Caenorhabditis elegans: one gene and its partners. The protein of the gene in region 1 purifies or fractionates together with the protein of each later gene. This does not show direct contact. Each region holds a gene or a part of one and is shown in the gene's direction. Other genes may lie near its edges.

Region 1 (5,742 bases):
AAATTAGACTTTTAGATTTTGATAGATTGTGTAAGTTGTATTTAACTTATGATCAAAAGTACTGATATAAAAACTTTTCAACAATTGCCTTTTTTCTACCAGAACAATTTCATATCTCTCACCTTTTTCTACAAGAAAAACTGTTTTTTTTTTCATGTGAAATTTATCACTCTCCCCAATTCTCGCCTCTTCTACTTGCAAGGATGTTACCATACATGATGTAATCTCTTTTCCCGCAAGATGTTTGGTTGTGACCATTGCTCTGAATTACGGTGTTGAAACATTTAACTGCTATCACATCACACTGCCACCCAGCATTGAAAGGACAACATTCTCACGGTCTCTGTTTCGTTTTGTTATTCGTCTAGCCATCTCGTGTGATCATCAACCATTGACTAGCAACCACGCGGAGCTCGTGGTTGCGGTCGAATTGTGCAGTCATCCTCGTGGTGATATTGTCTTCAAACTCGTCATTTCCTGCGGGTACTAAAAATACAAACTTACGGGACGAAAAAGTGGTTTTGAACTCGGAAGTGACCGACTTTGATGTTTATTAATCACAAAATAGGACATTGATAAGGAATTTCGAAAGCCAGATTCAATTTTTATTTAAAACTCATCGAACTCCATTACTGCCAAATCATCTCTACTCAATTCAGATAGTTCGAGCATTTGATAAGATTCTGTAGCACAAAATAACTACCACAAAATCTTATCTCTTGTAAGAACATTAGATATTTGGTTAGAGGCCTAAAATATAATTGTTACGAGATTTGTAGTTTTCGCTACTTTCTTCATCAGCCCATTTAGCAGCTGAGAGCTTCAACTGTCCAAATAGAAAAAAATGGCTCACGTGGCCACAGTTTGTTTGATCTAAGTTTTTTTACGAGCACAGGTCTGCTAAAACTGTGATGACGGAAAGGTTTTGTTTGAGCTTTAACAAACCTCAAGGTTTTCAAGAGCCTCGTTTTGTCTTTCCACTTTCTATCTGATGCTTTTTGTCAGAGGAAAGGGGTTCAGACTTTTTTGTTCTGTGAAAAAGGGGTCAGTTTTCTCATTTACCGAGTCATATAAATTTTTCAAAAGACAGATGAGAGATACGTTTCAGGCAGGAAATTTTGAAAAATGCGTAAACTTTCTACAATACTTTCGAGGCTCAAAAACAAAAAGTTTGAAATGATGAAGTAGAATGTACAGTGAAAAAGCCTTCAACTTTTAGACATAACACTCTTTACGTATTAAACACGAAGTCTTCTTTTCCTGCAACACTTTCTTGTCTAAGCCAGTAGGTGGGTCTGAAACTCTAGAATCCAATGACGTGTAGCGACTAGAGCCCAACTATCTTTTTTTTGCCAATTGTTTTTGCCTTTCTCCGGGTCAAAAGCTTTCGTCTTCCGATCAGGAAGAGATGGGCGGGGTCTCGTCCTGACGGGAGGCCGCGGTCGATCGGTCGGTCGCCGACGCCTTCCCGCCCCTCAACACTGCCCCGCCGTTACCCTCCCATCGGCCACACTCCTCACAACATCTCATCATTTGTTCGCGCTGCTCTCCCCACGTGCGCCCGCCACCACGGGGGCCCATTTGCTGCTTTCTACCCCGCTTCTTCATTTCTCTGCTCCTCTTTCAATATTTGTTGAACTCGTAGCGTCCATCGCTCAGATAGACGAGAAGCACCGAGAAACATAGAGAGCGATAGATGTTTTCTACTAAGGCAACGTCCCTTGCGCCTACAAACCACCGCCACACAGCCCCCTTTTTCTACTCCTCCTACTTCTTCACACTCTATTGATATATGGCGCCAGTTCGCCAGTCCAAATGTACTGCCTCCATCGGCATAGCAGCTGGACATTGTGTCCTGTCCCCTTTTCCACACGTGAAGCCTCAACTTCCTGCCTGGGCCTTCTTTACTAATCTTGTTTCTTATTAACACCCGTATCATTATCATTTCCATGCTATCAATCGTCCACTTTTCTCATTTCCCACGGTCGCTGAATCAACTTTAATAATATTTTCTGTTCCAGAAATACACACAATAATGCCAGCAATCCTGTCGCGAGTTGCTCCACGCACCTTCAACCTTGTCGGATCAAGGCTTATGGCCTCCGCAGCCAGATTGGAGACAGTACCAAGAGAGGAAATTCACAAGGAATACGATAGAAAGAAGACTTTCTATGTTAGTTTTATAGTCTGAATATTGATTAAACTGTTAATGCTTTTAGCACAGAGACCTTGAAATTCAACTCGCCGGTCCAACACAACTGAAGACCAAGCCATTGGACCCAACAAAGCTTAAATTCGGACACACATACGCTGATTACATGATGACATGCGATTGGGATGCCGAGAGAGGATGGCATCATCCAAAGATTGAGCCAATTGGAGAGCTCAAAATTCATCCCGGAGCAAAAGTAAGTTACTGTCCATCAATTTAAAATGGCGCCATAAGTGGTCAACGGTAATATTGAATATTTGCACTAGTTCCTGAAGTGTGATTTTTTAGTGATAAGCGTTATTGAATGATAAGCATTAGCATGAACAAAAAAATTAAAAATTCAAGAAAAGGTCATAAAATAATGTCAATCATTTTAATAAACGGCACGTGGCAGTTCGCTTTGCATTTTTTTTGTTACCCGCCGGTCTGCCACACATTTCTATCCGTTGTGCGGGCGATAACTTTTGAAGATTTTCAAAGATGATGTAATCACCGTCACCTGTCTTTTTCACCTCTGTGACCTCTTCTCTGTGATCAGTGAAATCTGATATGGGATAGAAAGACGAAGAAATGTGAAACTTTTGAAACTTTTGTAGGGGACAAAACTCGAAACTAGAAAAAAATCAGTTGAATCTGAGCTTTTCTCAGCGACCAGAAGCCAAAAAATGAGATTGACATGACAGCATGACACTTGTTGGAAATTATCAATCTTGAAGCTAAAGATCACCGACGATTTTGTGTTTTGTTACATCAAACAACCACAAAAAACAACTAGGAACTAATTAACAATTTTAATCCATTTGCTTTGCTTCCAGGTTCTTCATTACGCCAGTGAGCTTTTCGAAGGAATGAAGGCCTACCGTGGTATTGACAACAAGATTCGCATGTTCCGTCCAGAAATGAACATGGCTCGTATGAAGAGAACTGCTCTCCGTGCTGCACTTCCGGTAATTGACTTTAGCGTTGTAAAATATACGAAAAAATATCAAAAAACAAGAAAAAAACTAGGGAGAAGCTCTCAGAAAAGAGAAAAGCTAATTAAGTGATAGTCATCTTTTTGTGCAATTTTTCCTGAAAGCATGTGAGAGGGAAGTAATTAGTTTGAGCGTCTTGAGCGCATGAAAACTACTGAATGAAAAAAAAACATCAGATGAACAAAAAATTGCAGGATTTCGACTCAGAGGAGATGATCAATGTACTTACCGAATTACTTCGTTTGGATCAAGAATGGGTGCCAAATTCAGATGTATGCTCATTGTATTTGCGTCCAACACTTATCGGAACAGATGTAAATTGATTCACAAAAAAAACAATTCCTCTGTAAAACCAACTGTTTTCAGCCAACACTTGGAGTGGGATGTGCCACCGAAGCTAAGATGTTCGTTATCACTGGACCAGTCGGAGCCTACTACTCTACAGGATTCCAGCCAGTCAGCTTGCTCGCTGATTCTCGTTTCATCCGTGCTTTCCCAGGAGGAGTTGGCGCATACAAGATGGGATGCAACTACGCCCCAACAATCTGGGTCGGAAAGGAGGCCGCCAGCAAAAACTGCCAACAAGTTTTGTGGCTTTATGGAGAGAACGAAGATCTTACAGAGGTCGGAACAATGAACATTTTCTTGTTCTGGAAGAACGAGGAAGGCGACATGGAATTGATCACGCCACCACTTCATCGTGGACTCATCCTTCCAGGAGTCACCAGAGACTCACTTCTTGAGCTTGGGAGAGAATGGGGAGAGTACAAGGTCACTGAACGCACACTGAACATGGAAGAAGTCAAGAAAGCTTTGTCAGAGAAGAGACTCTACGAGATGTTCGGATCAGGAACTGCTTGCGTTGTTTCACCAGTCGGAAAGATTCTCTACCACAACAAGGTTACCGATGAGTACGAGGAGCTTCACATCCCAACCATGTCCAGCAAATTTGGAGTTATGCAAAAATTCTACAACACAATTAATGACATTCAGGTAAGCTTGTTTAAGACAGCTATCTCCTATTGAAAATAAATTTCAACTAATAATTTTTTATTTCAGTACGGCCGAATTATCAAAGACGGATGGATGCGCGACATTTAATACACAATATAATACTCCACTTCTGCATCAAAACCTTTTCAATATCCTTCCTTCAATACTGCATTTTTAATACTAACGATGGGTTCTGTTCAACAATCTCGGAGTTTTCTCTTCCCCCTCAATTTGTTTTTTTTTCCTCTACGCAACTGGGAACAACTTATGAAGTTGGATTTCTTATATGAGCTTTTCCGAAGAGCTAAGCTAACGATTTTCTGAGTTCATATCAGAATACGTATACAAGTCAGCTCGGCGTTGATTAGATCATTCGCCTCCTTATTCCCCTTCACTAAAACTACAACTAGTTTTATAGACACATTTATTGATTCGATTTCAAATGGTATTTTTTTAATTTCTTCTCTTCAATCCCCCTCCCAACTTCCTTCCACCCCCTCAAAAAGCGCTCGTGTCCCGGTTTATAAATCATGCTTCCTGCTACACTTCACCATGTCAAATACTCATATGATCATCTAGAATAATTTTTTTTATGTATATGAGAAAGTCGTTGTTAGTTCAAATGGCTATTCGATTGCATTTCATGTTTGTTGATTCAAAACACCTTCTTTTAATAAAAGTTGAAAACTTTATACTTTTTTCTATTTTTTAAATTTTTTAGAGACAACTATAAAGAACGATATCAGTTTTCAAACAATGTTTTGTTGAAAACTACTAACTTTCACTTACAAAAAATATTATATTAGATATTTAGCGACTTTGTGTTTGATTTAAAAAATTTTTATTTCAAAAAGTGGCAACTGGTGAGAATTTGCCAATCTTTGAGAATGTAGCGTATTCAAATTCTACAATGTTTGAATTGTAATAGTTGGAATAAAAGAAGACCATAAAATTCGATGGAATTTATTTTGATCGATGAATTCCAAAATAGTGGCAAAAACTGAGATTTTGTTTTCCATTTTCCATAATCATAAAAAATGTTAGAAAATCGTAGTGCCACATGCACGAGTTTCTAAAAAATAATTATTTTTAATATTTGCAATATTTGTCCAGAAGCTGTTTTTTTTTCAAAATTTTTGATGACGGTAAAATCAAAAGGAGTCTTTATATTTCATTTATCAAACTATTTTAAAAACATTCGTAAAAACTAGTCTACTCTGCCTAGTGTTTTCTAACAGACCTGGCAATTCTGAACAGTATGGATGAAAAAAGACTACCTTCGATTTTCCTGTCAATTAAAATTATGAAAAAATGAAATTTTTGGTTGCATTTTTCACATACAAACATTTTTATACGTTTTTTCCAAATAATGAACATTCTCACAATAATCTTGACCGTTTGTCTCGTGTAAATAGCCGTTTCTAAAAATCATGGGTTATTCATTTTTTTGATTTTTTATAACATTTTGATTTTTTACTTTTTTATATGATTCAAAAATTCATTTCCAAGTCCTTTCATAATAACGTCTGATGTTTTAAATTATTGTTTATAGATGCATAGGAA
Region 2 (8,455 bases), on another chromosome or scaffold:
GCTATAGAAGTTGGACGGCCGTTTTTTCAACTTTTTGACCTAATTTCCGTAGTTTTTAAGATATTCTCACAAAAACCGAGGTGTGGCGGTTTTTTAACATTTGTAATCGAACTACATTCACACTTTTTCAAAATAATTTCCAGAAAGCCTCAAACACTCAAAATAGAGGGGGGTGCTATAGAAGTTGGACGCACTGTATGTTGCAGTGTTTCAATACATTTTTATTAGGCGGTTTACAAATTTCCCACCGTTGCGCTTCAGTTTTATGTATTTTTAAATTTTCATTTCTGTCTAATTCACAGACTTTTGCTTGCTTCACTGTTTTGTATACTTTTTTTTGAAACACCGTACTTCACCGTGCCAAAATTTTTGCAAAAAATGTTTTAAAAAATTGTAACCAAATTTGTCTTGATTAGAAATTTTGACTTAGAAATTTTGAAAATTGATTGTTTTTAAAAAATCGGAAAAATTGAAAAAAACCCCAATATTAAATTTTATGTGAAAAAAACATATTAAAAGCGCTCAACTTGCATTTCAAATCGAGACTAACTTGAAATGTGAATAAATTTACCGATTGTAGAAAAACTTCAAAACTGCAAATTTAAGCAAAATTGCACCAGTTAACAGTTAAGCTATTAACGGCTTACGTTTGCTTAAAGTTTGCAAAAAAATGTTTAACTATTTCACTAAAACTTCATTAGGCGTTTCAATAAATTTTATATAATACAATGAGAAGCAATGTGAAAATCCAATAAAATTCAAATGAAAGATTGATAACATGCCTCATTTTACTATTGGTATGAGTTTTCTATTAGTATTGTAACAGTATTAACATGTAGCAATATTAACTGTAATTTCCCCATATATTTGTGGAGATTTTTATGCTTAAGGTGGATTTGAATGACTGTTCTCATGAGGAAATATGAACAACTTAATATTCAAATTTGTTTATATTTCCAATAATAAAAAAAAAATAAAAATAAAAAAAATTTCGCATGCTGAAAGACGCCGAAAGTTTTTTTTTCATCGTCGACCAATTTTTTTTAGCGAGTGACATTTGCCGTTTGCCGTTTGCAGCACCTAAAATAAATAAAAAATAAATAAAATTGTTGTTTAAACCTTTTTATTAGTGGAAAACGTAATAAGAAATTTGCAAATTTAATTAACCCAAGCTGAGTTTTTCTAAAAATTTGCTATATTCGCGATACATTTTTTTACTGTTTCAAGGAATCCTCATGGAGATTTTCAATAATTTACAGTTGATCCCATCTTCATCAATAATTTTGTCCTTCAAATTTTGGAATTTGTCGCGCGCACAACCCTGAATAATTGTTTATTATTTTTCTGTTAAGCCTAGTATCAGAAGATAAATTAAAAACGAAAAAACTCACTATTTTCAATTTCAAATAAATTCACGTTTTGTAGTCAGATCGGTTTTCCAAAATTAAAAAAAAATGTTATCAAAATATCTGTGCACTTTGAATCAGTCACACAATGTTCACAAATTCATCTCTAAATTCAAAAATTAATCTCAACCAGAAACGGTACTTGTAGTTTGTATCAGAATAATTTCCTACGTGTTTCTAGTAGATTTCTAGTTGGTTCATTGAACAATCATCTTGATGACTGCTAGAGATAAGACATAGAACAGCTAGTGATACCTTATCAATGTCATCCCCTTCTGTTGTCGATTGTCTTTTTCATTTTTGATTTTTGTGTTCAGTTCGTTATATAAATAGAGAGTAGTGGAAAACTGACAAAGTTCCTGCAAACTAAACCCGTCTGAGCCAAAATTAATTGTTTTCAAAACAGTTTTGTCACCTTTCCAAATAATCCTTTTCAAAAACAAAATTATTTTCAGTTTCACTGTGTGTTTATAAGTTTCACATTTTTCAGTTTTTTTTGGTTTTGCTACATCCGCGTTAGTTTTTTAACTTACAAATTTTCGCTGTATTTTTTTTTTAATTTTTACATTCCCCTTTTTAGAGCTGTGACAAAAAAAGTAATTTTTTCTGAAGCTAAAAATGTTTGCCCAAAAGTTTTCGTGCAACTTGTTTTCAAAGCTACAAAAATAGTGTCAAACTTGAAAAAAATTTAATTTTGCTATAGTTTAATTCAGCAAAAAATTGTATGTATGTAACTTTTTAATCCATACTACTGATTTGATTATATTGTTTGATTTTAAAAAAAAGTCAATATTTGCAGATCAAAAATCCCAAAAACCAAAATGTCCCCAAACTGTGGTTTAAAATGTCATGGTGGTCCAGGATATGCATCTCCAGCTGATGCTATAAAAGGACCACGAGAAGAAGTTTTATTTGTGACTGCTCCAAATGCAGCTGATGGTCCTGATGCCATTTTTACAGTTGATGTGAATCCAGAGAGTGACACTTTTTGTCAGGTAAATTTTATTTGTAAAGTTGATTTTTTTTCTTGTTTGGAGGAAAAAAATACTGTTTCAAAAAGACGTATTGAGTTTTAGGAATAACTAATTTTTTGATTGTCTTTTGTAGATCACGTCCATAAAGCTTGAAATAACTGTTTCTATATCAGAAAAATTGTTCAAATTACCGGAATAAAATTGCAATTTTGCAATTTTCATCTCTGTTGCATCAGCCAAAAATAAATCAGGAAACTTTGATTTGATCTCTCTGATTTCAAGGTTATCTCAAGCTTAAGAGTTTTAAATCGATTTGCACGATATATGATTGTATAGTAAAAATTAAAAATTATTATTTAATTGAAAAAATTATCGGTTTCAAAATATTGATATCCACTCGTAGTTTTAGCATTTAGAGATCGATCAATCATAACATTTTCCAGTAAAATTAATATTTTCAGGTGATCAGCCGAGTTGATGTGCCACATATTGGTGATGAAGTCCATCATACTGGATGGAATGCGTGCTCTTCTTGTCATGACAAACCAACTGAGAAGAGGTTAGTTAAAATATTTATTGTTTTAGGATGATACTATTACTCTATTAGTACAGGTGGCAAAATTAAATCAACTGTTCGAAACATCAAGTTTTGTTTAAAAATTTTTTTAATTAAATTTTCATTTTTGAAGTGTGGTTTTCCGACTTTTTTTTTTTAAAAAGTGGTCACAATAACATGTTTTTTTTTATTCTTCAAACAAAATCATCATATATTTGATAAATCTATAGATTCTCCCTTGTTTGTTTTTCTGATTTTTAGATTTTCTCAAGAAAAAACTGATAAACCTAAATTTTTCCACGACCCTTGATACGGATGCAAAAGCTTTGTAATAAAATCAGATCAGAGCGACATTCACGAGAAGATCATTTTTATAAATTTAGTTAGACTTGAACCAATTTCTTGAAACAGTTTTTTAATTCGAATTTACAAACTTCACATTTCAGTCAACTGAAAGATCAATAAATTTTTAGATCGGAGAACTTTCATTAACAAACCAAAACAGTAGAATAATTTCTAAATAATTTCAGATCCCATTTGATCGTTCCTTGCCTGAACTCTGACCGTATCTACATTATCAACGTAGAAAATGAGCGTAAAATCTATCTTGAACATACAATTGAACCATCAAAACTTCATTCTCTAAACCTTTCATTTCCACATACTTCACATTGTCTTGCCGATGGAAATATTATGATTAGTACTTTGGGAGAAGCTAATGGAACTCCATCTGGTAACTTTTTGTTGTTGGATGGAAAGACATTTGAGCCGAAAGGAACATGGCCAGCTGACGAGAAGACTGTTCCGTTTAACTATGATTTCTGGTACCAGCCAAGGAGAAATGTGATGATTTCTACGGAATGGGGATCACCGAATCATATTAAAAAGGGATTTAATCCAGGTGGGAAAACTGAAAATACTTTTAAAAAATCACTGTTTCAACACCTCTTGTTTCATTTTACCAAAAATTAAAATTATTCCTTGCGGCATGAGCCATCAGCATCACTAAAAACCAAAAAGTTACAAATTTTTTTAAAACATGAAATTTTCCAGCTCACGTCGGAGAGGGTCTCTACGGAAACAGTGTTCATATTTTCGAATGGGACTCTAAGAAATATCTTCAAACAATTGATCTACCACAGCCACTTGGAGCACTTCCACTTGAAGTTCGATTCCTCCATGAGCCAACCAGTGAGCACGCTTTTGTGGGATGTGCTCTTGGATCAGGAATTTTTAGAATTCATCCTGTTGAGGAGGTGAGTAATATTCAATAGAATTTTCAGAAAAATTGAAATGTTTCAATAAGTTATTATTTGTTTAGAAACTGAGATTAATATGTTAAAACCGTAGAATAGAATCAAGATTAAAATTATTGTAAAACTAATTTGCCGAGCTCGGAAAATTTTGAGAACTGCCGCACATCCTTGATTGGGAGGTAGCAAAGTTTCCAAAACTGTTGCTTCTTCCAGAGTACTCAAATTTTATTCCATGAAAACTCTTCAGTAGAGTGTTTGATTTTTCAAAAGTTTCAGTCAATTGAAAATGGTTAAACAGTTTTGGAGATCAATGCCGTGATTTTACGAAAACATTGAAACATTCAAAAAACTTTTCAGTTTCAATTTGTCCTCATAACACACTCTGTTGTTTTTAGTTTAGTTCTGTTGGTATTCCTGTCATCTATTGAAATAGATCCGGTTTTTAGAATTCATCCTGTTGAGGAGGTGAGTAATATTGAAAAGAATTTTTAGAAAACTTTTAGAAAACTGTTTCAATAGGTTATCATATTGTATCTTATTGGAAGTTTATTTCATTTGCTAATCCAAAAAAACGTATGAAATCAAATATAAATGATCTTCGTAGGGGGAGTTGACAATTTATCAATAGTACTGATATTTTCGTTGTCAGTAATTGAATAGCAGTGTTGTAAGCTGATGTGTAACTTTCTGGGATCACCGAAACATTGCATTAGAAACTTTCAAGTTTAAAAATAAATAAATTGTTTCAATACGTTGTTATCAAAACTTCCGTTCTATTCAATTGATTTTTTTTCATTCCCGAAGTTTTCTGAGCAAGTTCTTTGGCAAAATGACTAACTTTCGAGAAAAATGTGGACATTTTGAGAAAATCAGAGCGCTTTCGTACATTTCAAATCCTTTAATGCTTTGGCATACATGATTAGGGCATAATTTGAATTTGAAATTCAGAGAAAGTTGTGTAGACCAAACTGCTATTTTTCTTTTTTTTCATTTGGAAGAACCAATATTAATTCAAAATAGTTTCAGTATTTATAGACTACTTGAAACATATAATAATTTTTAAAAAATATCTTTGAGTGTTTTTAATAATTTATTTTTAAATCAGTTTATAGATTCATTAAACGTTTAACAATGATGCAAATACTAAAAACGTATTTTTCCGAGTTTTTTAAAATTAGGTTAGTGAAACAGTAGATTTTTGATGAACCTTTTTTTAAAAAGCAGCATGCATTTAGTTTTGACAAAAAGTTCAAATCGATTTTTTCTGCGTGACTGTGAATCAAGAAAACTCGGTCAATTAAAGAAAGAAAAAATATTTTTTTTTCGACACTAAAAAATAATTTTAAAGCGCGGACATTATAGTCTCAGTGAAACTTTATTCAAACCAAAACGTTTAATCAGCTAATTGAAACATTAAAAATTTTATGATTTTGTTAGTTTTTCTAGCAATGTCAATGCAATCAAATAATTTTCAAGTAAGATGTTTAATGAGTTATAGACTTTTTTATTAAATTTTTGAAAAAAAAACCGATTTCAGATTTAAGTAAAATTATCTCTGCTTCTGCTGCATTGCTGCGAAACAAAAATTCCTTTCTGTGCAAAGTATAGTCTCACTGGAAATCAAGTTCGAGTGACAATTAGAAATCTCACCGGGTTTTCTAGATCATCTGAAACATATAATTTTAAAAAATTGACACCTTGTTCAACTTGAAACATTTAATCAGCCAATCGAAACATTAAATGTCTCATGATTTTTAAAGCTCTTTTAGAACAGTCGATAAGTCACGCCACAGTTCAATTGAAAACAATTTTCTAGCGAGATGTTAAATGAGTTTGTTGAAACAGTAGATTTTCGTGTAAACTTTTGAAAACAAAAATTACGTTTTAAATAAAATTATATCCACTTCAGCAGTGTGCCCTTGAAACAAAAAAGCTCGATCAAAAAATTTATTTTTTGTGAATGGCCACCAACTTTTCAGGCAAAATTACAAAAAAACATAAAATTTACTGTTTCAAAAAGTTAATATAATTTTGGCAGCGCATATACCTACACTTATTTCGACAGTTCGCGATAACCTCTTTTTGAAAATAAAGTTTTTCAGAAAAGTTGCTTCTTTCCTGTTCTCGAGGTGTTCTTTTAACACACTTTGTATTTTTTTTCTTGTAAAATCTCAAAATTCTGATAGTCAGTATGAAAATAGTTGCCAAATGTTTGTTGAATACTACTGAAAACAAATCTTCAGTGATACGTTGAATGAGAAACATTCAATTTTTCAAATAATTCCAGAACTCAACAACCCATGCAGCTACTCTCGTTGCCTTCATTCCTTCTAAAAAAGTAAGTGGATGGGCTCTTCCAGAAATGCCAGCTCTTATAACTGATATCCTTATCTCAATGGATGATCGTTTCCTGTATGTCTCGTGTTGGCTTCATGGAGATATTCGTCAATATGACATTTCTGATCCATTGAAGGTGAAATTGAATTCTCAAGTTTATATTGGAGGAAGTGTACATACGGAATCAAATGTAAAAGTTCTAGAAGGTGAAAAACCAATTGAAGCACTTTATGTGAAGGGACGGAAAATTGAAGGAGGTCCACAGATGTTACAGTTGTCATTGGATGGAAAGAGACTTTATGTTACAACTTCTTTATACAAGAAATGGGATGATCAATTCTATCCAGAACATGTCAAGTGAGTGCTACTTATGAAAAAATTTAGAATTATTTCTGAGAAAAAAGTTACCGTTTCATAAATGTAGTATATTTTGAGCAAACTATTTCCGCTCACTTGTGGGGCTATTCGCGAAATGTAATTCTTTTTTATTCATTTTATTCATTGAACCTTTGTCCTTACGAAACAAATTATCTCGAATTTTGTAGTTTACACTAAAAATACGCTCATGGTGAAATTATTGTTTAGAAAAAAAATCACCGTTTCAAAAATCTTTCATATTTGCAGCGATTCTCTCTCACTTGCTGAGTTGATTTTATCACGAATTCATGTTTTTCTTTGTTTTTCTAGTCTAAATAATTTTTAAAAAAAAGAACAACTATGAGAAATCGATAAAACAGTTCAATAGCTGCAGCACCGAAAGTTTGAAATTACACTACTCTTTAAAGGCGCACACACGTTTTCCGTTGAAAAAATAGTCACGTCGAGACTTGGTAATGTTTCTTTTCGTCCGCTTAATAATTCATGATAATTTCAAAAAAAAAACACCAAATTCGTCCTACTTTCTCAATGGAGCGCGTTTGCAACCCTGTCATTTTTCAGATCTGGCGCCACAATGGTTCAAGTCAACATTGATCCAGAATCTGGAAAAATGGAAATAAATCGAGACTTTTTGATCGATTTTGGAAAAATTGAAGGAGGTCCCTATTTGGCTCACGAGATGCGTTATCCCGGTGGAGATTGTACATCGGATATTTGGATTTAATTTGGTTTTTTTTAAAATGTTTTGCATAAAAAATTAGCTTGTACATATTCATCACAATTCATTCAGATTTTCAAAAAAAAATTGAAAGGATTTTTCAACTCATGATGCAACTAGAAAAACGGGGGAAACCAGGCGAATAAATATTGAAAAAAGGGGATTTTTGTAATGTGAACGAAGCAATCATCATATATGGTACAAAGAATGTGGCGAGTTGAAATCACGGGAATTTAGTAGAATTGCACAAAAAAATTATGGATTAGAAAGTAGGAAGAAAATATATGAACATCCGGAATTCTCCTCAATAAAAACTGGCTCCTTTTATCGATTGTCTTTTTCATTTTTGATTTTTTGTTCAGTTCATTATATGAATAGACAGTAGTGGAAAACTAACAAAGTTCCTGCAAACTAAACCCGTCTGAGCCAAAATTAATTGTTTTCAAAACAGTTTTGTCACCTTTCCAAATAATCCTTTTCAAAAACAAAATTATTTTCAGTTTCACTGTGTGTTTATAAGTTTTAAAAATGAAAGACATTTGATTCAAATGACCTACAACTTTTCTGAATATCTCAAAAATGAAAACTCAAAAAAGATGATCACTCGAACTAAATGCCCAGAAATTTTATTTTTGTTTTTAAATGAATTTTTAAAATGAAAGACAATAAATTCAAATGACCTACAACTTTTCTGAATATCTCAAAAATGAAAACTCAAAAAAGATGATCACTCGAACTAAATGCCCAGAAATTTTATTTTTGTTTTTAAATGAATTTTTAAAATGAAAGACAATAAATTCAAATGACCTACAACTTTTCTGAATATCTCA
Region 3 (4,382 bases), 1.1 Mb from region 1:
AAAGGAGAGAAAGTTGAAGATTCAAAAGTGTGCATCATAATGTAATGTGAGGAAATATGGAATGTCGTTTGATCTCAAATGGGAATAGATAATGCATTGTTTCGTATTATGGAAAAATTACTGAAACACAACTGTACTTAAATTTTAATGTTTCTTTTCTTGGTGAACTTTTCAGTTCTAGTCAGCTCCCCGAACCTCCCGGTAATTTTGAAATGTATGTTTCCAGTGAACTTGTGATATTGATGATAATTGGATTTTATAACAGTAGTTTGTGTATTTGTGTTTTATTAATTTTTGAGATTGGAATAAATAATTTGTAAATAAACATTTTCTCCACTATTACATTTTTGGATGAAATCTTAACTAAAAGAGGGATTCAAAAACAATTTGAAAATAGCATTTCGATGCTTGAAATGTGTAAAATTTTGCGCGGTAGTTCACTGTATTAATATTTTACAAGACTAAAAAAATCCATTAATCACTTTTTGCATATTACTTTACAGTCCAATTAGAAGAAAAGCTCAATACCAACTAATGAATAACCTAATGGAACATACTTTTTTCAAGAGTTTGTTGTATACTGTGAAGTTACAGCGTAGACATTGTTGAAGCAGCCAGACGGATGACATAGGATTGATCACTGAAAAATGACAGATTATCAAAAGACCAGTTTTTAGAACCAGCTTCATCCCAATCCCTAGTCGACTGATCTTTACCTCTCTTGCGTTTCGACTGATTCAGGTCAGAAATAGAAATGTCGTTGATGGGAACTTTTTTGAGAATACTCAATGGACAAATCGATGACGGATTTTAGGATCACAACGACGAGGGATTCAGAGACTTGCGAGGACAGCAGAGAACGGACAGACTAACATGGAAGGACATTTTGAAACGTTTTATAAATAGGACGGTTGATTTAAAAACAACAATTTATTGGACCAACTTGAGTGATAGTACAGATTGCAAGAAGTTGGTTTTTTAAATCATAAACGTGCTACATTGACGCACTGAGAAGAGACTGAGGGGAAAACAAAGGAGATGAAAGATCTATAGGGAGTGAAGGGGAGATCTTAAATAGAAAATACACCGGAAAATCAGAAGTTGACCCGAGCACGAAGACACGTTGATGAGAGAGGAGTTGGGAAGAAGAAAGGGCGTCGACGATCACTGTAAAAAGTTAATTAATATTAGTTCTGATTTTAACCCATAACCGCAAATATTTCTCATATTCACGAACTTACCTTATTGCGGTTGATCTCAGTGAGATAAAACGGAACTTTGTCACCAGTCCAAGACGTATTGTTTTCCACAAGATGAAGAAGACGCTCGTCCGTGATTTTCACAAAATCTGAAAAAGATATAATTAGTATTTTGATGTACCTAACACCTAGTTTCAACTTACCATCGATACGACGAGAAGTCGAGCTTTGAGAACGGGGACGTGGAACAATCGACTCTGATGAAATGATCCGCGTTCCGTCAATGCATTTCGACAAGATCTCTTTCAGCTCCAACTTGAGCTCCGGCGAAAAACGAACGTTGTTCACCACAATCACCGTGGCTTGGGTCTGGATCTCATTAATACGATCCACCAGATATGCTTTTAATGAACGTGTCTCAACGTCGTTTAAATTGAAAAATAGTTCCTGGATGCTCTCAATTTCATTTAAGCACATCAAAGTGCACTGTGTATTTTTATATTGTCTTTGAAAAAATGACTTGGGTACAGCTTGGGCAAGAGTTGGGAGCAGCCTCATAAAAAAAGTCGTGGGCTGCTTGTTCTCTCAAGGCATCGCCCAAGGCTTACCATAGTTTTGTCTACTTCTTCTTATTCCTTCTAATGTTTTTTGAATCTGCATTTCTCTCTTGGTCTACATATGATGTTGGTAATGTATAGTAGAAGACCACGTGTGTCTGCACAATTACACTATCTCTAGTGTTCTGCGTCTGCAATATACAACAACAAAACCATTTCGTCGACATACACCGTCCAATCTTATCAGTTAGTTCGACATCATTCCGTCTTTGACCCTTTTTGTTTATTTTTCAACTAGTCATTATCATCAGTTATTCTTTCTGAGAATTTACAAAATTATTTTCTGCTTGTAGACATGTCCAACCAAAAGCCAGTTCTGTATTCTTATTGGAGATCATCGTGCTCATGGAGAGTTCGCATCGGTTGGTATTTTAATTATATCAATTTTAACTAGCAAAAATGTTATTTTCAGCGCTTGCTTTGAAAAACGTGGACTACGAATACAAAACTGTCGACTTGCTGTCCGAAGAGGCTAAGGTAAGAGAAAATCAAGCGGTTCTTTAAATTATTTTAAAATTTAGAGCAAACTGAAAGAAATCAACCCAGCTGCAAAAGTACCAACATTTGTTGTGGATGGTCAAGTAATTACTGAAAGTCTTGCGATTATTGAGTATTTGGAAGAAACGCATCCAGACGTTCCACTTTTGCCAAAAGATCCAATCAAGAGAGCTCACGCTAGAGCTATTTCTCTTTTGGTAAGTTTTACGTATTTAGTTGGTTTTTTTCTTAACTTTATACTGCTATTGTTTTACAAAAACTGTAACAATTATGTTTTGAGGTTTACAGGTTGCTTCTGGAATTCAACCTCTTCACAATTTGAAGGTTCTTCAACTTTTGAATAAAAAAGAAGCAGGATTCGGAGGACAGGTTTAATTTCAGAATCTTCAATGTATGTTTTCAATTTTTAAAATTTCAGTTTGCCAAACAGTTTGTTGTCGAAGGTCTCACTGCTCTTGAAATTCTTCTAAAGCAACATTCTGGGAAGTATGCTGTCGGAGATGACGTCACGATTGCGGATCTCTCCATCCCGCCACTTATCTACTCAGCTAACCGGTATGATTATAGGGAGGGTCAGGGAATTTTGGACATAGATAACTTTTTGAGAAAATTTATTATGTTTTAGTAATCTATCCAGAATTTCAATGTATTAGTTTGACATTTTGCGTATTCAAAACCTCGAAAATTTGAACACCTTTTGGGTTACCCTCAAACAACACTGACCAATTTTTCATAGACAGTTACTGAATCATCTTAGCAAGTGATTTAAACGAAAACACATTCCTATTGAAAACAACATCCACTTGTGTGGCAACAACCTTTTTATCGGATTCCTGATTCAAACAAAATGTATTAGTCATTCAACAAACATGAATTGGAAGCGATGAGCGTTTAGGATGAGACATGAGAGATTCACAGATAACCATCAGAATAACCTCCCTTCCAAATCGTTCCGATCGCAATCAAACCGTCATTTCAGATTCAACCTCGATTTGTCGCCATACCCAACAGTGAATCGTATCAATGAGACTCTTGCTGATATCCCCGCCTTTATTGCCGCTCATCCTGATAATCAACCAGATACCGGACTCAATGCTTAGATTCTTATGAATGATTGCGTTATTGGATTGGACATACAAGAGTTAACTATTTGAGAATTAAAAAAAAATGTTTCTTTGTCTCTTAAATTAGCACAAAAGTAATAATAAATTTACAACAGAAAATGTCCGCGATATCCTAAAGCAAGTTGCTTTTTTTAACTTTGTAAACTAACTTTTCTCGTTTTCATACTGAGTGTTTTTTTTTCAAATAAATTAATTTCTTAAAAATATTTTGAACTTTATTCAAACGAAATATCCAATGGAAAATTTTTTAGTATGCGAGTTCCACTGATAACTTTTTTGCGTTCAAAAAAAATGTCCTGCTTTGAAGACAGAATTTTTGATGTTTACCTATTTAGAAGTATGTTTCGAAATTCAAGTTAAACAGTTGCAGACCGGAAGCCTCCAAAAGTCATTTTTTTGTCCTCCTCTTCATGACCAAACTCAATCCCTGGGGATTAGCATCTGAAAACCCAATCGGCAATGTTGTGTCATGGAAACTTTTAGAGAACTTTCGGAAGACTTCCGTGCAAAGAGAACGTGTTTTTACGGGCGAGGTTGGCATAGTCATAGTACTAGTTGGTTGCCACCCACAACACAAGCCGGCCTTTCGATTCATCAAAGTATCCGTTTTTTTCACTCTTCTCCTCCCGCATTCTCCCCCTCTTTTCTTTGTCAGTGTGGTCTGCAAAGTTCAATTTCCAACTTTTCTCATTTTCTCTATCTCTGGCTCGCTCTTCGCAGCTCCTTTTCTGCTTTTTTTGTCTTTATGCAACCAGAATCAAGAGGAAAAGAGTGACGAATTAGGTTTAATAAAGGGTGATGTTTGACAACTTTGTCAAAGTGTATACCTCCCGTTGTCAAGGCATTTTTAAGTTACGCCTGCACTGATAAAAATGCTATATATAAAAGAAAACACAACACATTTATTGATTTGAACATCAAATTATTTTGGAATCATTTTGTCA
Region 4 (3,693 bases), on another chromosome or scaffold:
GTCTCCTGTTTCACAGAATACATTGTATACCAGTAGATTCCGATAACAACACCCAAAAGTACGGCAAATGAGATGTGATTCTTGTAATTTTTCGCGAAAATCTCCTTGACTCGCTCTTGATTCACCTGGAAATTGGGAAAGAATTAAGGAAAATTGAGGAAAAAATTAATTTTAAAAAAACCTTCTCAAACTGCTTGGCGAACCGTTTCTGTGGTCGTGGTAGATCCTCAATATCGATTGTTTCCAGCATCTCATTGTCCTTCTTTTTCTGGAAAAATTTAGCTTTTTTTATAGATTTTGTATCCAAAAAAAAAAAAAACACTTTTTTTGCAAATTTTCGGCTTTTCCGGATAAATTCACGGTTTTCAATCATTTTCCGTTAACAAATCCTTGGAAAATGGTATATTATAGATTATTAGGCTAATTTCAGAGTTTTAGCTGTTTTTTTCGGGGATCAAGTCTTTTTTTCAGTTGTAGAACTTGAAATATTCGCTGAAACTTCAAAACTGGCCTGGAAATCGATTATTTAATATTTTGAAAATTTTTTTGAAGGAAAAAAAGTCTGAAATTGCAAAAAAAACTGTCTGAATATTACAACAAAAAAAATTGAAAAAAAAAACACGAAAATTTAAAAATTAATTGAAAAATAATTTTTTAAGCCTAGAAAAATAACCTCTAAACTCTACAACTTAAATATAAACTAAATTAAATCTAAATTTATCTCCAAACTAAAGGAAAACAAAACCAGATGCGAAGCTGGCAGAGCAAAATTGTTTAGATTATATTCCAAACTTTACTTTTTTTTGTTGATTTTTTGAACTAAAATCGAATCTTGGATCGATGAATTTCACGAATTTTAGGCTTTTCCAGACGAAAAAACACTCCAAAAAATTTAAAAAAACTCACTTCAATTTGTGAGAACTTCGTCGTCTCCGTCGGCAATTTTTCCTTTGTGGCAGCTAGACGGCTCGTGCTGACAAGCCTTCGGAATGCCAGTGTCCGGCAATTGAGCACAGCGAGCATCTGATATTTATTTATTTTTTTTTTCGATTAAATTGCATTATTGTTGTCAATATCACAAGGTGTTCAAATATCAAGGGAAAATGTTTGAAGCAGCGGCATGAGATTTATATTGATTTTCATATGAAATGGGGAAATGTGTACTGAAAACTTTATGAAAAGGATAAAAAGAAAGAGGAGAAATGGATGAGTGAATGGCATTTTATATCAGAAGACACGATCTTTAGAGGAGAAAAGTGTAGGGAAAAGGTGAAAGTATTCGGTTTTTTTCATGAATTTCATAATTCCTATAATTTTCTGACAGAAAAATCAATAATTTTCTTTCACTTCCGCGTATCGAACGTGAAAACGAAACAAATTCGGGGGCATGTTTGCTTTAGAAGTCTCGCACTCGTGTGAAATGAGCTTCGGACAGAAAATCACTGATTTAATGTAAATATTCAAACATTTTTAAAAATAAATTGACTAAATTCATTGAATAATTGGAAAAAAAATTAAAAAAATCAGTACAAATCGAGGAAATCCGATGGAAAAGCAGGACGAAAAAGCATTTCATTGTTTTTGTTTCCCTGGCGCTACTTCCAAGAGGAGTACACACGAGGTGGACGAGAAAACCCTCGCGGCCGCAGTTGCCCGCGAACTTTTGAGCGTTTGAACTCTCAAACTTTTTTATCAGTTTTCAGTGACAATGAATTCAAAATCACTCTTTTCTCGAATTATTCGAAATTATTCGAAGCCTTTTCCTTTTAAGTGGATTATATTTACAAAATACACCACTAATTAAGACATTTTTCAGCAATACGATGTCGAGAAACGTGGAAATCAAGGCAAAAGTTCAAAATCTCGATGAGACGGTTCGCCGCGCCGTGGAAATTTCCGGAAAACAGCCGACTATCTTGAAGTGAGTTGAATCAGAATAGTTTTATTGGAAATCAATCATAAAAATGTTTTATTATAGGCAGCATGACATCTTTTACGAGTCACCGAATGGCCGCCTGAAGATGAGAAGCGTTGAGGAGAACGGAGTGGTAAATAATAGTTTTCTTTTTTACTTTAAAATTAAAATTTTGATTTTTCAGGCCCACACAGAGCTTATTTGGTACGATAGATCTGACGTGGCTGGCCCGAAGCTCAGTAATTTCAACAAATTCGACGTTCCATCTGAAGTTCTTGATGCTCTGAAGCTCTCCCTCCAATCCTCAATGGGAGTCAAAGGAGAGGTGAAAAAGACGAGAACTCTGGTGCTCCACGGTCAAACACGAATTCATATTGATCGCGTCGATGGGCTCGGTGATTTTATGGAGTTGGAAGTGTGCCTGTCGCCTGAAGAGACTCCAGAGCACGGAGAGAAGATAGCTCATGAGATTCGGGAGCTGCTCGCCGTGCCAGAGACCGATTTGCTCACTGGTGCCTATATGGATATGTTGAAGGCTTGAAGGCTTCAATTATTTGTTAAATTTGAATTTTTTTTTTTTTCAATAGCTCTCGGTTATATGTTGTTATTGCGGATACATAAAAGTTTATGCATCAGAAAGTTTTATATTTAATCTTGCAGGATCATAATCGCTAATCTCCACAACAACAAAAAACAATTACTTCAAAAATCTGACATCATTTTTTGTATTTTTCTCCTTCCTTTTATCGAAAACCTTATCAATAGAAATGTCATTTCAGCTTTTCGATTTTATTTTATTTTTTTTCTCTCTCTCTCTGTCTCTCTCTGTCGTTTTCCTAAAATTTCGTTGAAACAGAGAGGCTCAGACAATGAGAAAAACGCTTCACTCACTCGATTAATGTGCGAATTTGGAAGCCGGAGAGTGGAAAAAGAACGGAAACAAATAATGAATAACTGATGCCGATGTTGATTATGACTTTTTGAAAAGAAATAAAGAGGAAATTTTAGTTCAGAGATATTTTTTCATCAATTCTCACTATTTTTATGTTATTTTAACTAGTTTTACCCTAAATAATTGTGTGCAGCTTTGATTCACGTTCCCGCGATTTCTAATTTTCCAATTATCTGTGTACTGTATCCCCAAAAGTACGCGAATACAACCAATGCCCCCAATATTACGACAGAATGACACTGAAATTGTCTGAAAAACCAAGCTTGAATCTGAATTTCTACGTTTAAAATGCTAAAATTTGAGAATTCTGTGTTTTAGATATAAAATTGGTGGTTTTTCTTGAATTCCAATACAAAAATCGAATTTCCCGAAACTTTTTTGTTTTAAAACATTTTTGTAGGGTACTGTACTCTTTAAAGGCGCACACCTTTGAGAGGAGGTTACGGTTCCCGAAACTTAAAGGCGCAGACCCACAGAATAAGTTCGAAAAATTTACGAGCCTGGAAAAGAAATTTTAAATTTTTTTTCAATAAATTCGCACATTTTCAACTCGCAAAAAACATTTCATTTGGAAAAAAAACCTAAATAACACGAAGAGTAGTAAAATTTCTTTAAAAAGAGCAAAAAAGTGTCATAAATCAGTCAAATATGTGAGTTGTTGTGTTGTGTGAGACTCGAGCATGTCTTATTTATTGTTGTTTTTGCTCTTTCTTTGCTCTCTTCCCTTCTCATGCTGTAGGCGGTGGCGGTGGTGGAATTGAAAATTGAGCCACCCATGTGTCAAAACTCGAATTTTTGCGGTTTTAATATCAGTTAATTCTTTTTT

The links.
Region 2: the proteins of bcat-1 (region 1) and semo-1 fractionate together in Caenorhabditis elegans (co-fractionation; one large-scale study listed by BioGRID). This does not show direct contact.
Region 3: the proteins of bcat-1 (region 1) and gst-42 fractionate together in Caenorhabditis elegans (co-fractionation; one large-scale study listed by BioGRID). This does not show direct contact.
Region 4: the proteins of bcat-1 (region 1) and F35D11.4 fractionate together in Caenorhabditis elegans (co-fractionation; one large-scale study listed by BioGRID). This does not show direct contact.

Annotation. Positions count from the first base shown.
Region 1 is NC_003284.9:12,875,459-12,881,200, forward strand, and holds bcat-1 (Branched-chain-amino-acid aminotransferase, cytosolic), read left to right. Parts: upstream 1-2,021; 5' UTR 2,022-2,035; coding exon 2,036-2,173; intron 2,174-2,219; coding exon 2,220-2,408; intron 2,409-2,631; exon of another isoform or gene 2,632-2,764; intron 2,765-3,027; coding exon 3,028-3,159; intron 3,160-3,380; coding exon 3,381-3,500; intron 3,501-3,552; coding exon 3,553-4,179; intron 4,180-4,245; coding exon 4,246-4,287; 3' UTR 4,288-4,870; downstream 4,871-5,742. UniProt on the Caenorhabditis elegans protein: Catalyzes the first reaction in the catabolism of the essential branched chain amino acids leucine, isoleucine, and valine.
Region 2 is NC_003282.8:14,048,995-14,057,449, forward strand, and holds semo-1 (Methanethiol oxidase), read left to right. Parts: upstream 1-2,205; 5' UTR 2,206-2,227; coding exon 2,228-2,401; intron 2,402-2,500; exon of another isoform or gene 2,501-2,521; intron 2,522-2,799; exon of another isoform or gene 2,800-2,820; intron 2,821-2,841; coding exon 2,842-2,939; intron 2,940-2,954; exon of another isoform or gene 2,955-2,975; intron 2,976-3,001; exon of another isoform or gene 3,002-3,023; intron 3,024-3,280; exon of another isoform or gene 3,281-3,301; intron 3,302-3,373; exon of another isoform or gene 3,374-3,398; intron 3,399-3,466; coding exon 3,467-3,837; intron 3,838-3,914; exon of another isoform or gene 3,915-3,935; intron 3,936-3,989; coding exon 3,990-4,192; exon of another isoform or gene 4,193-4,657; intron 4,658-4,742; exon of another isoform or gene 4,743-4,767; intron 4,768-4,830; exon of another isoform or gene 4,831-4,851; intron 4,852-4,977; exon of another isoform or gene 4,978-4,998; intron 4,999-5,174; exon of another isoform or gene 5,175-5,196; intron 5,197-5,314; exon of another isoform or gene 5,315-5,335; intron 5,336-5,500; exon of another isoform or gene 5,501-5,521; intron 5,522-5,538; exon of another isoform or gene 5,539-5,559; intron 5,560-5,801; exon of another isoform or gene 5,802-5,822; and 20 more.
Region 3 is NC_003284.9:11,725,526-11,729,907, reverse strand, and holds gst-42 (putative maleylacetoacetate isomerase), read left to right. Parts: upstream 1-1,971; 5' UTR 1,972-2,111; coding exon 2,112-2,178; intron 2,179-2,228; coding exon 2,229-2,293; intron 2,294-2,337; coding exon 2,338-2,511; intron 2,512-2,602; coding exon 2,603-2,683; intron 2,684-2,732; coding exon 2,733-2,869; intron 2,870-3,293; coding exon 3,294-3,414; 3' UTR 3,415-3,644; downstream 3,645-4,382. Other genes in the region: D1053.3 (Ras family protein), read left to right, coding at 1-45; D1053.2 (Histone-lysine N-methyltransferase, H3 lysine-79 specific), read right to left, coding at 1,165-1,167, 1,242-1,348, 1,403-1,757.
Region 4 is NC_003280.10:4,601,611-4,605,303, forward strand, and holds F35D11.4 (CYTH domain-containing protein), read left to right. Parts: upstream 1-1,816; 5' UTR 1,817-1,823; coding exon 1,824-1,921; intron 1,922-1,978; coding exon 1,979-2,048; intron 2,049-2,099; coding exon 2,100-2,456; 3' UTR 2,457-2,551; downstream 2,552-3,693. Other genes in the region: coa-3 (Cytochrome c oxidase assembly factor 3), read right to left, coding at 1-125, 182-268, 907-1,023.